Linked DNA regions of Solanum lycopersicum. The protein of the gene in region 1 binds, or shares a complex with, the protein of each later gene. Links are inferred from orthologs where the notes say so. Each region holds a gene or a part of one and is shown on either strand. Other genes may lie near its edges.

Region 1 (5,409 bases):
CCTTCATCAGTGAGAATCTCAAGAAGTAAGGAATGCTGCAGCCTTCCATCGATAATACTTGCAGTCTTCACCCCTTGAGCTAAAGACCTGACACAACAATTCACCTTGGGGATCATCCCACCGGCAATCTTGCCATCATCTGTCATCTTCTTCACTCCTTTTATGTCGATCTGCTTCACCAAACTCCCAGGATCATTACGGTCTTCTAGAATTCCAGCCACATCTGTCAACAAGAGTAGCTTTTCAGCTCCAAGAGCGGCTGCCAACTCACCTGCTGCTGTGTCTGCATTAATATTGTAGGATTGACCCGTCTTATCAGCTGCAACAGATGCGATCACTGGGATATGGTAATTGTCAATGAGAGGCCGCAGTACACTAGGGTCCACACTAGCAATGTCCCCAACAAAACCAAGTTGTTCAGAGTTGGGGGAAGGACGTGCAGTTAAAAGGTGGCCGTCAATTCCTGATAACCCCACTGCAGTTGCCCCAGCCTTGTTAATCAAGGAAACCAAATGTTTGTTGACTTTACCCACCAAGACCATTGATACAATCTCCATGGTTGAGGCATCAGTGACACGAAGGCCATTCAAAAAGTTGGGTTTGATACCCAATTTACCTAGCCATTGGTTGATTTCAGGACCACCCCCGTGGACAAAGACAATGCGCATACCAACACAAGAAAGAAGGACAAGATCAGCAATAACAGACGCCTGAAGTGCCTCAGATTTCATAGCAGCTCCTCCATATTTCACTACAATAGTCTTGCCTCGAAATTTTTGAATAAATGGTAGTGCTTCAGAAAGGATTTTCACTCGGGTTGCTCCCGGGTAAGATTGAACATCAGGTGCAATGACGGATTCCAAGGAAGTTTTGAGGCATGAGGCCTGAAAAGGGTTGCTAAGAATGTTTCGATTGGCTTTGATAGCTGGAATGGATTTTGGAAAAATGAGACTGGAATCTGGAGAGTTGGAGACTTTGCTAACTGGGGAAGAGAGTGAGAAGGTTTTAGCAGCCAACATCCTCTATTCCTTTACTTCCTCCCCTTCTCTATTGAGTCTAAATAGCAGGGGAAGTGTAACACTATAAGTTCTTAAAGACCGTTCGTTTAATGGGGGTCAATGCATCAAAGAAACCTGCAACCAGAATAAGCCATCAGTTAGCACTTGAACCTCAAAAGTATCCCACATAAGAAACATACACTTGAATACCAGCATATCTGAGATAGCCCCAAAACATAATTGGGAAGAAATAATCAAATTAGAGACATAAGATACTTGAATAAAATTCAAAAAGTACCAATGAAACCCTCTGGGTTCATCAATAAGAGCAAAGTTTCTTAATTGTTACTAAGTTATAAAAAGAAAAGTAACATAAACAAACTAAAACAGAGGGAGCACAAATAAATAAGCAACTAGTACTAACTCAATAGATTAAAACAACTCATATTGTAATTCAAAATTCACAACAAGACCTGTCATATACTGGCTAAATCGGTCTCTAATTGGCATTTCATCAAACAAGTAATAGCAGTAGAATCAGAGACATTTCATACAATAAAACTGAACATATAACTGTCAATCAGAAACTTAAACAATCCATTCAAATACATTAAAATTCCCTTATCTATATTTGGCGATTAGGCGCAAATCCCTAAAAATAAATTCCAGAAGAAGAAGAAGACATTTAATTGAACCAAATCTAAAAGGGATCTCACTAACAATTACTAGGATCATGTATTCTTCGGATTTTTTAAAATTGTCGATGGGTACGTGTTTGATCCTTCAATGGTAATGTTATCTTAGAAGATGCGACATGGATATAATAACATTTTTGAAAAGTCCGTACAACTAGTGTCGGTGTCATTTGTCTCCAAAACCATCTAAATTCTCCTTCCTCAAAAATCTTCATATTCAGTTTATGAAATTCTCTTGGGGAACTGACGCATTTAAAATGGTCGGTGCACCAGTTCCCTTATCCCTACAGAGAGTATCATCTGATGACCCTTACCTCGAGTTTATGTGGTTTACTCAAGTACTCTTAAGTCATTTGCCTGGACAAAAGTATTTTTTATGCGTTAGCATGTCTTAAGAATGTTGGTGCTATCTTATGAGTAATGTGAATCAAAGTTTCTTATCGAAGTAGTTCAATGTTGAATTTTTAGGTGATATACATTTTAACCATTTAGTTTAATCTTAATTTCTTACACCTTATGCTTTGTTGTGGAATAGGGAAGGAAGACGGGAAAAGAGAAAGGTATAGTTGAATGTAAGATATGTAATGGAGAAAGTAATCTAAAGAAGGTGATTGGGAAAGATGTAAAAGAGAACTTTTTGTTTCTTGTTTGGTTAAAAGAAGTTAACAACATAGTAGGAAAGGAGATCCATTCTCTTTTCAGAAACAAGGGGGGAGTTATGAGTAAGAGTATTAGATTGTTCTTCTTTCGAACTCTCTAAATATTGGTTTAAGGGTGGTGTTCATGCCAGTTTGGGTGCACCTTGACTCATCTACCAAACAGCTTGCTACAACCCACAAATGCGTCCAAGCATGTTTCTTCTCTACAAGTGTCGAGCTCATCGAATTTTGGGACTGAAAACAGTTTTTGGCTTCATTTGTTTCCAAATTGCAATAGCGGGCATATTTGTTGAAACAATAGTTCACAAGAATGACAAAAGAAGGTAACTTTGAGCAAATCCCCTTCACCTACCTCTACTGCCCAAGCTATACATACCATAACTGATTATGTTTTCCAAGCTTATTATCCTCGAAACTCGAACAAAGAAGCTACTAACCCAATAGATTAAAACAACTCATATGTAATTCAAAATTCACAACAGAACTTAGCATATACTGGCTTAATCAGTCTCTAATTGGCATTTTATCAAACAGGTCATAGCAATAGAACCAGAGACATTTCATATAATTAAAACTGAACATATATCAGTTCAAATACATTGAAATCCGCATATCTATATTTAACGATTAGGCGCAAATCCCTAAAAATAACTTTCAGAAGAATCAAGACAATTATCCTGTTAATGTACCTGGAAACAGTGTGTGCTCGGCAGTGAGAGAGAGAGGAGGAGGAGGCGGCGGCCGGTAGCTCAATTTTCTCCGATGGACAGATTTTATTATTCGCAAGTAGTAGTAGGTGGTGTATAAAATTATTAGAAAAAGAGATAAATGAGAAACATGTGGGAAAAATATATACAAAATAGTCCTTCATGTTTAAAAAGTTGTCCAATAATTTTCCTATTTTATAAAATATGTACTACACAAAAAATATGGCATATATATAGCACATGAGAAATAATTATGTAACAAATAAACACCAAATACCCACCTAACTAGGAATAAAGACATTCTTTCTAACTCCTTTATATATAAAAAATATATATCACGATACACACCACACAATTTTAATGAAGAAGTCGAGCGATCTCGAGATGTAATATGTATATACATAAAAAGAAGGAAAAAATTGTACAAAATAGCAAACTAATAACCTAAATTAAATAGAATAACTAGGGTTTGATTTAATTGTGCTCCATAGCAAACATTATCTAAAGTTTGCCAGCGTCTCTCTCCCAGGAATCTCGCTCGCCTCTCTCGCTTTATACACAGAAGTGTATAATTCTGTTTCTGTTTTGTATAAAGCGAGAGAAAATTGTATATACACATGCAAAAATGTATATCTTCGTGTTATACACTTAATTATACAATATACAAACATTTTACTTCAAAAATTGCAGAGAAAAAGGCCAATGAATTATACAATTGCGAATTATACAATTGCAGTGAAATACAATTTTCTCTAGCTTTATACAACAGAAGTGTATATATTGTGTTTCTGTTTTTGTATAAAGTGAGAAAAACATATATCTTTTTGCTATAAACTTATAATTATGCAATATACATACATTTTAATTCGATTCAACTATATGCAAAACAAATTATACAATTGCAACGAAATAGGCCAGTGAATTATATAATTTAGGCCAGCGAATTGTACACTTGTATATGTATAGCGAATTATACAGTTTTTATGTTTGCTATGGAGCGCAATTATGCAAAGTTTGCTATATTATACAAATATAAATTTTTTGTTTGCTATATGTGAAAGTTGCCCTAAAAAGAAATAATCTATCTACCCGATATAACTTTTTGAAGAAAAAGTGTCCGCATTTAACTGATTTTATGTATACATACGTAGTGATACATATGTGTGTGATATATCTGTGCACTTCGCAGTTAGCCCGTTTAGCTTTCTCCAAGATGAGGATCCTATTGGCCCAGCCCATGTTTTAAATGAACTAAGCCCATCAAATTTTAGCCCAATGTGGATCAATAAAATCCTGTTAATCATGATTTAAGTGGTAAATGTTTATATTCAAACTACATTTTTTTGTAATTATTGATTTAAGGGAAACATCCAAGTTCTTGTTGAATTAATTTTATTTAGACCTTAAAATTTTAATATGACAATTGTTGCTCAGTTGTACATGAGATAATAACAAGTTAAAAATGAAGAGGAATCGGATCTTCGTAACACACCTCATGAATGGTAGATACATGTAAGCAAATAAACAGTAGTATAAAGGATGTGTGCGGTATAGAGAAAAATATTTTATAATTCTCGCATGTTTAATTAGTAAAAAGAAATTAAAATTACTTTCTCCATTTGTTGTTTATTATCTTGCGACCATACTTCGAATAGTACTTCTCTTTTGAGTCGAAGGATTATCAATCGGAAACAATCTTTCTGCTCTACAAAGGTAAGAGATAAGATGTGCATTGTCTCACCGTCTCCAATTTCCAACTCATGAATTTCACAAGATTTATTTTTGTTATTATTGTATTTTTTTTTCAAGTAAAAATAAGAAAAATAAATTGAAATGTGCTAACAACCCACTAAGAAATAATGAAAGAAATACAATCTCATTTACTCAACCTTTCCCAAAACTAAAACTTCACTATATTTACATTGTAATATTTCAATAACCTCCAAATCTAATTAATTCCCATGAAATATAATGTTCCAAAATTTATATTACAAATTTTTTTAAAAAGATATTGAGCTTGAAGGACTAGAAGTTGATGATATAGGAACCCAAATGGAAGCACTTGTCAAAGGCCTTGATTTCCAACACAAAGCCAATTTGCTTTGTTCATTTTGCACCCAATACCCTCCACTAAACAAACTCACCAAATGCTTGGCTTGTCTCACATTACTTGAACTCATTGGAATTTGTCTAAAACCTTTTAATGAATATAGCCCTTTACTCCATCTTTCCCTTTCTAATTTATCACTAGGGAATTGTCTTAATGAATCCAAAATTCTAACTCTTAAAAATTCCTTCTCAATGACCCTTAATGCTAACTTGTATCCTCCACCAAAACCTCCAAGAATTG
Region 2 (5,376 bases), on another chromosome or scaffold:
GATCACAAACACCTGAACCTGCATCATTTGAAGATGCAACATTAAATGATGTCGGTATATGAATATGCGATATGTAAAATAGTTAAATAAAATAACAAGCTAAATTAAATATATTGAAATGAAAAAAGTAAATATAAAGGTAGACGGTAAGATAACCAACAGAAAAGTAAAATATGCACATTTACTCTAATAATCAAGCTTAACAACTGAAAATGTATACAATAGTAGCAAATGTTGAAATTGATTAATACTTTTGTTGGGGAGTGTCTCTAACCGGCAACTATCACATGAGTCTATGATGATATAATGTCTTACTCATGTTTTCAGCGTCATCTTATACTTTGTCAGAATAAGGATAAGCTGAACCATGAATCCAATATCTTATTAGCCCTTATCAGGGCTTTCCGAATGATTTGTCCCAACCAACGACACGATCCAATCATGCTCTAGCGGCACAGTTATGAAATTTGAGTTATCAAAATTCTTATCCAACTCGATGCTCATTGGTATTTCCAAAATTATGTAATAATGCTCAATAATTGTAGATGTCCCAGTTAAGGAAAATGTTCCACTTTGCTAAGACTCTCTATGTTGAGTTAATACTCAAAAATGTTTCTTTGTAACTGACAGATGCTTTTAAAAATTATGCTTTATGCGAACTCACTTCACCTCCTCGAAATTAAAATATGCTCTCTTTACGGCTAATTATGTTTTTCTTTCCGAAAATAATGCATTTGAAACAAATACATGCTCTTGAAGCTCTTCCAAAATAATGCTTTAAAATTTGAAATTTAATTTACTCATGAAAACAATGCATAAGAAATCAATATGATAATGACTTCAATAACTCTTACCAACTAAAGGGTACAATGCATAAGAAATCAATATGATAATGGCTTCAATAACTTTTACCAACTAAAGGGTTTATGTAGCATATTAAGTATGAATCAACAATCAAAGATCATTAATAAAATGTGAAGAAATGAAATTTCTATATAACAAAGTTAAATTCTACAATAAGAATATAGAGTAAATTCGAAAATTATTGATCATAGAGTAAAAACCTTACTTTGATGTTACAGATTAAAACAAAAGATGTAGGACACGAGGAATGATTTACTTCCTCATAAATGACGATCTTACCTATCTTAACGTTTAATATATCCTGGCAAAGAATCCTAACATGAAAAAGAGTAATCAAGTAACATTTTCTTGAGATTCTTGAGCTCTCTTCTTGAAAATCTTGTGACCAAAGATTAAATTTTTTTATCAATAATTCATGAATAGATGGAGGAATTTGAGTTGGAAAGCTTGAATTCCACGAGAAAAGACTTAACTTTGGTGGACGAGGATGACAGGAAGAAACCAGTTTTAGGGCTCGAAAGAATGGTAAAAAATGAGGAAAATTGAGCTAAAATCGACTTAAATAATTTTCTATCATCCAACAACATTTCAACCGGTGAAACGGCTACACAACATTGTTCAAAGCCAAAAAACATATGTTCAAAATAGAAAATCTCTTAAATCTTACTCAACTAGTTCTAGACCGGCATTTTGTTGGTTTAGAATTGTTCATCGCCGACGAAACGCATCTTTAAAATAGAATATGTGATGAAAATAAAATGATAATAACTTTTGACTAAATCTGGATGGCGGTTGAAAGAACACTCATAAGTCTTTAACTTGATAAGTAATAGAACATCTAACTCTTCATATGCCGATAAATATGGTCATTTGACGTTAACTCTTGCCTGAACAGATGTGCAAACTTAGTCGGAAGGAAAACTATTAAAACTTAGTCTAAACCACTGTTGATTCACCTTTCACACTTAGGAATGGACTTTAAAACGCTTGTATACTTAATTATGACGAATGATTTATATCCTTAGAGTTGAATTACGAGGTGTTCGCAATCTCAAACAGTTAAGAATCCATCATTCAATTTTCACTAAATCATTAATCCATTATTTATAAATTAATATTATTTTTTCAATTTCAATTATTAATTTCGATTCAATTTTAAACCGTTTTTAAACAAGACTTATTTTTTCTTTTTTAGAAGTATCACTTTAATCATTTTCCTTTTGTACTTGTACATTTTTTCCATCGATAATAACAAGAGAAAAGGTAAAGAATCCAAATTATTCAGAAATGGCGTTACTTCACTTCACTTCACTATTTTTAAGGCCATAGAACTCATCGATTATCAGCTCTCTCTTCTGCAACTCAACGCCAATGGCTTCTCCCTCACTTTCAAAATCCAATTTCTCCCTTCACTCCTTCTCTTCTTCTCCATCCTTGTCACAGTTCCCTCATTTCACTTCCATCACCGTTGTTCAACCCAAATTCTTCCCTTCGCAGCTCACCTTCAAACGCTGTCAAAATGCTCCTTCTTTCCCGATTATCAGAGCCCAAAACTCTCCAGGTTTCAATTTTGCTTAAACCCCACTTCATAAGTTCACTTATTTAGTAACGGGTCAATGTTTTTTTCTTCTTTTGTTGCTTATAGAAGTAATGGGTCGGTTTTGTGTTTTCAGATTTCGTCCCTGATGCGAAGTTTTACAAAGTTGAAGCAATTCTAAGGTGATAGCATCATTTTTCTTTACTAATGTATTCTAATCTGCTTTCTATACTCTGTTTACTGATTCAATTTTGCGTCTTCTGCAAATTTTGGAATGGACTTAGACCTTGGAGAATTCAACAGGTTTCTTCGGTAAGAACTTGATTATTTTCATATGCATGCGCCAGTTTTTAGAAAAAAAAAATTGAATCTTTTCCTTTTGTGATCCTTAAGGTTGCAGGCCTATATGATTGCTTAAATTGAGGCTCTTTATTGAACTTTTTTGGGTTTCTTTTTACTCAACCCCTATTTTGCATTCTATGACATCATAGTAAAGCCTATATATTGTGGAAAATACTTTTACAGCACAGCTTTAATCTCAGTGGTGATCAAAGTTGTAAAGAGCCAAAGGGTTAATTGAAATGCTGCTAGCTTGCTCTACTGATAAGTTTGAATTTCACCTTGGTTCTTTCTTGTTATACAGTCTTATATCTCCATAGATCTTAATATGTGTATACCTTTTTCTTTGCTATATTGTCATATAATTACCCTATGGATAATCCTTTTGATAGGACAGTATTGAGTTGCTATTAAGCTTTCAGAAACAATTTCTTATTTTTTGATACTAAGAAGTATTGTCATGGATAAGTTGAAAAAAGTTTGAGGGTAAACGGACTTTAGATCAGGATGTCCTAATAATATCTAGCACGGAAGGCACACTAAGGGGTTCGATATATTGAATTTAGAGGTTGGAGTGAAATGAGGTAAAACGCCCCAGGCGTCATCCACACACATTCATACAAAAGAAAAAAAAATATTCCTCCTGAAACACTACAACATTTAACAATATGGTGAAGTGAAGCCCAGATTCTGTGATGACTATTGAACTCCATTTCACAACTAGATTGAAGGGAGCCATTTTCTGTAGATATTTCAAAACATCTAATGTTTGAAGCTAAAAGGCTCCATTATTTACTCATGTTTTCTGAATTATGAAGGCACTACTGAAAATGGGCATTCGTGGTGTCACTGTTTCGGATGTTCGTGGTTTTGGCGCCCAAGGTGGCTTGACTGAGAGGCAAGCTGGTATGGAAATATTCATCAATTTTAAGTGTTTATTTACATTGTCTTGAATATTTCTCGATTAAAAAGAGATTCTTCCTTGGGTTTTGAAGTTATCTGCTGCTTTCAGGCTCTGAATTCTCTGAAGACACGTTTGTTGCAAAAGTTAAAATGGAAATTGTTGTCAGCAAAGACCAGGTTTTGAATTTAATAGGCCTTGACCAAGCTTTCTGTGAGCTATCATTTAAAATCATGTGTTAGAAGTATATGATTATAGAAGTATATGGTTAAGGTGTCATTTATCTCTCCTATGTATATAGAAGTTTTATCTAAGTGGTGCTCCTTGCGATATGATTGTGCTTTTTAGATGTTAGTTCTGATATAACCTGTAATGCTGTCTTATTAGGTTGAAGGAGTCATTGCCAAGATAATTGAAGAGGCAAGAACTGGTGAAATAGGTGATGGAAAGATATTCTGTAAGTTTTTCTCTTCATGATCTTGGAGTTTTTGATGTAATATCTCTAACCAAGCTTGAAAGCATTCAGTTAATGTTTCCTCAATGAGTATGCTGTATATTTTCATATGATGATTCATGACATATCTTCTGTACAGGGTAAGGTGTAACACATAAATCATAATCTATTAATCTTTAATTTACTGTGTTGTTTCCAAGCAAATGTTTGCCTGAGTAATCTAAGTGTGTTGCACATGAAGTGGGAAAACCAATGCCAGCCAGCCTTTTAATACGTGCTTGCAATGACAATCCATATATGTATACGAGAAGAAACAAATAGAGATACTATCCCAAAATTTTAAAATAAGATAAAAAGCTGTAGGAATTTCAAACTTTTTGATCTTTTTACCTTCTATTTTATCAGACAAGAAAATCCATCAGTGACATTGTTCACAATAGTTTAATTGAAGCCCAAATTTGTTGAGCTCTCCTTTGCTTTGATGCTTATTTTCTTAAATATTTAAACGTCTTGTGAGAAAACATGATTCCAGTTCTAGCTTATAAAGATACATACATTTATAATTTATCGACACACACACACTCTTCAATGTTTTCCTCTCAAGGCCTTTTATTTTGTGAGTATGTTTCTCATGTTAGAAGCCTATCTTTGATCTTAATTTCATTTATTCTACCAAAATGTCGAGCCAAGCCTGGAGTGGATCATCACACAGGTTGTCTGATGCTACAAGAGCTTATTGTGTGCTCAAGTTAATGGCCATATTTGTATTAGCAAGTGGTTTGTTAATGGACATATTTTTTTCTTTAGTATTAAAACTAAAAAAGATACAGGTATGTATTCAGAAGAAATTTATTGAAGAGCATAAAACACAGTTTCCAGTGGTAATTAGTTCACATGTATGTATTTGGGAGGGATCCTTTACTTTTGGCCAAGCCTCTATTTTGCAAGGGATCTCTTGGGTAATATTAGCGCAATCACATTACATAGTTTTGATCTTGCTAACGTTTAAGCATGACATGTTTTTCCTTGCAAAGAAAATCTTAAACGAGTGAAAGAGACCCTGAAGTTTCAAAGTGGCTGTTAAAGTTGGGCCATCTATTGGCTGTTAAATGATGTGCTAGACATTATTGTCTTTATGAAAATATTACAAAATGTACTGAATTGTTGATGCTGTTTTTTTTAAAAACTTTGGCAGTGACTCCCATCTCCGATGTTATAAGAGTTCGCACTGGTAAGTAGAATGTTTTGCTTAATGATACTCCATTTGTATTTATAAGTTAG

What was found.
Region 2: the proteins of NAGK (region 1) and PIIGLB1 are in contact, whole or in part, in a crystal structure (PDB 2RD5), measured with the Arabidopsis thaliana proteins. The link is inferred for Solanum lycopersicum from reciprocal best matches to the Arabidopsis thaliana genes NAGK and GLB1. Residues at the interface, in NP_191315.1 of Arabidopsis thaliana: Arg195, Glu208, Val209, Ala210, Arg211, Val212, Glu251, Ala254, Ala255, Ile286, Lys287, Lys290, Ile310, Arg311, Ala314, Gln315, Gly316, Gly347; in NP_192099.1 of Arabidopsis thaliana: Arg82, Trp84, Arg85, Gln88, Arg118, His119, Gly120, Gly121, Ser122, Glu123, Glu153, Thr157, Glu159.

The regions. Positions count from the first base shown.
Region 1 is NC_090810.1:1,051,971-1,057,379, reverse strand, and holds the start of NAGK (acetylglutamate kinase), read right to left. Parts: upstream 3,151-5,409; 5' UTR 3,042-3,150; intron 1,134-3,041; 5' UTR 1,020-1,133; coding exon 1-1,019. Other genes in the region: protein NODULATION SIGNALING PATHWAY 2-like, read right to left, coding at 5,060-5,409. UniProt on the Arabidopsis thaliana protein: Involved in the arginine biosynthetic pathway via the intermediate compound ornithine.
Region 2 is NC_090805.1:3,347,205-3,352,580, forward strand, and holds the start of PIIGLB1 (PII-like protein), read left to right. Parts: upstream 1-2,122; 5' UTR 2,123-2,235; coding exon 2,236-2,425; intron 2,426-2,537; coding exon 2,538-2,583; intron 2,584-2,685; coding exon 2,686-2,713; intron 2,714-3,558; coding exon 3,559-3,646; intron 3,647-3,752; coding exon 3,753-3,820; intron 3,821-4,028; coding exon 4,029-4,098; intron 4,099-5,290; coding exon 5,291-5,326; intron 5,327-5,376. UniProt on the Arabidopsis thaliana protein: Participates in sensing carbon and organic nitrogen status and regulates some steps of primary carbon and nitrogen metabolism.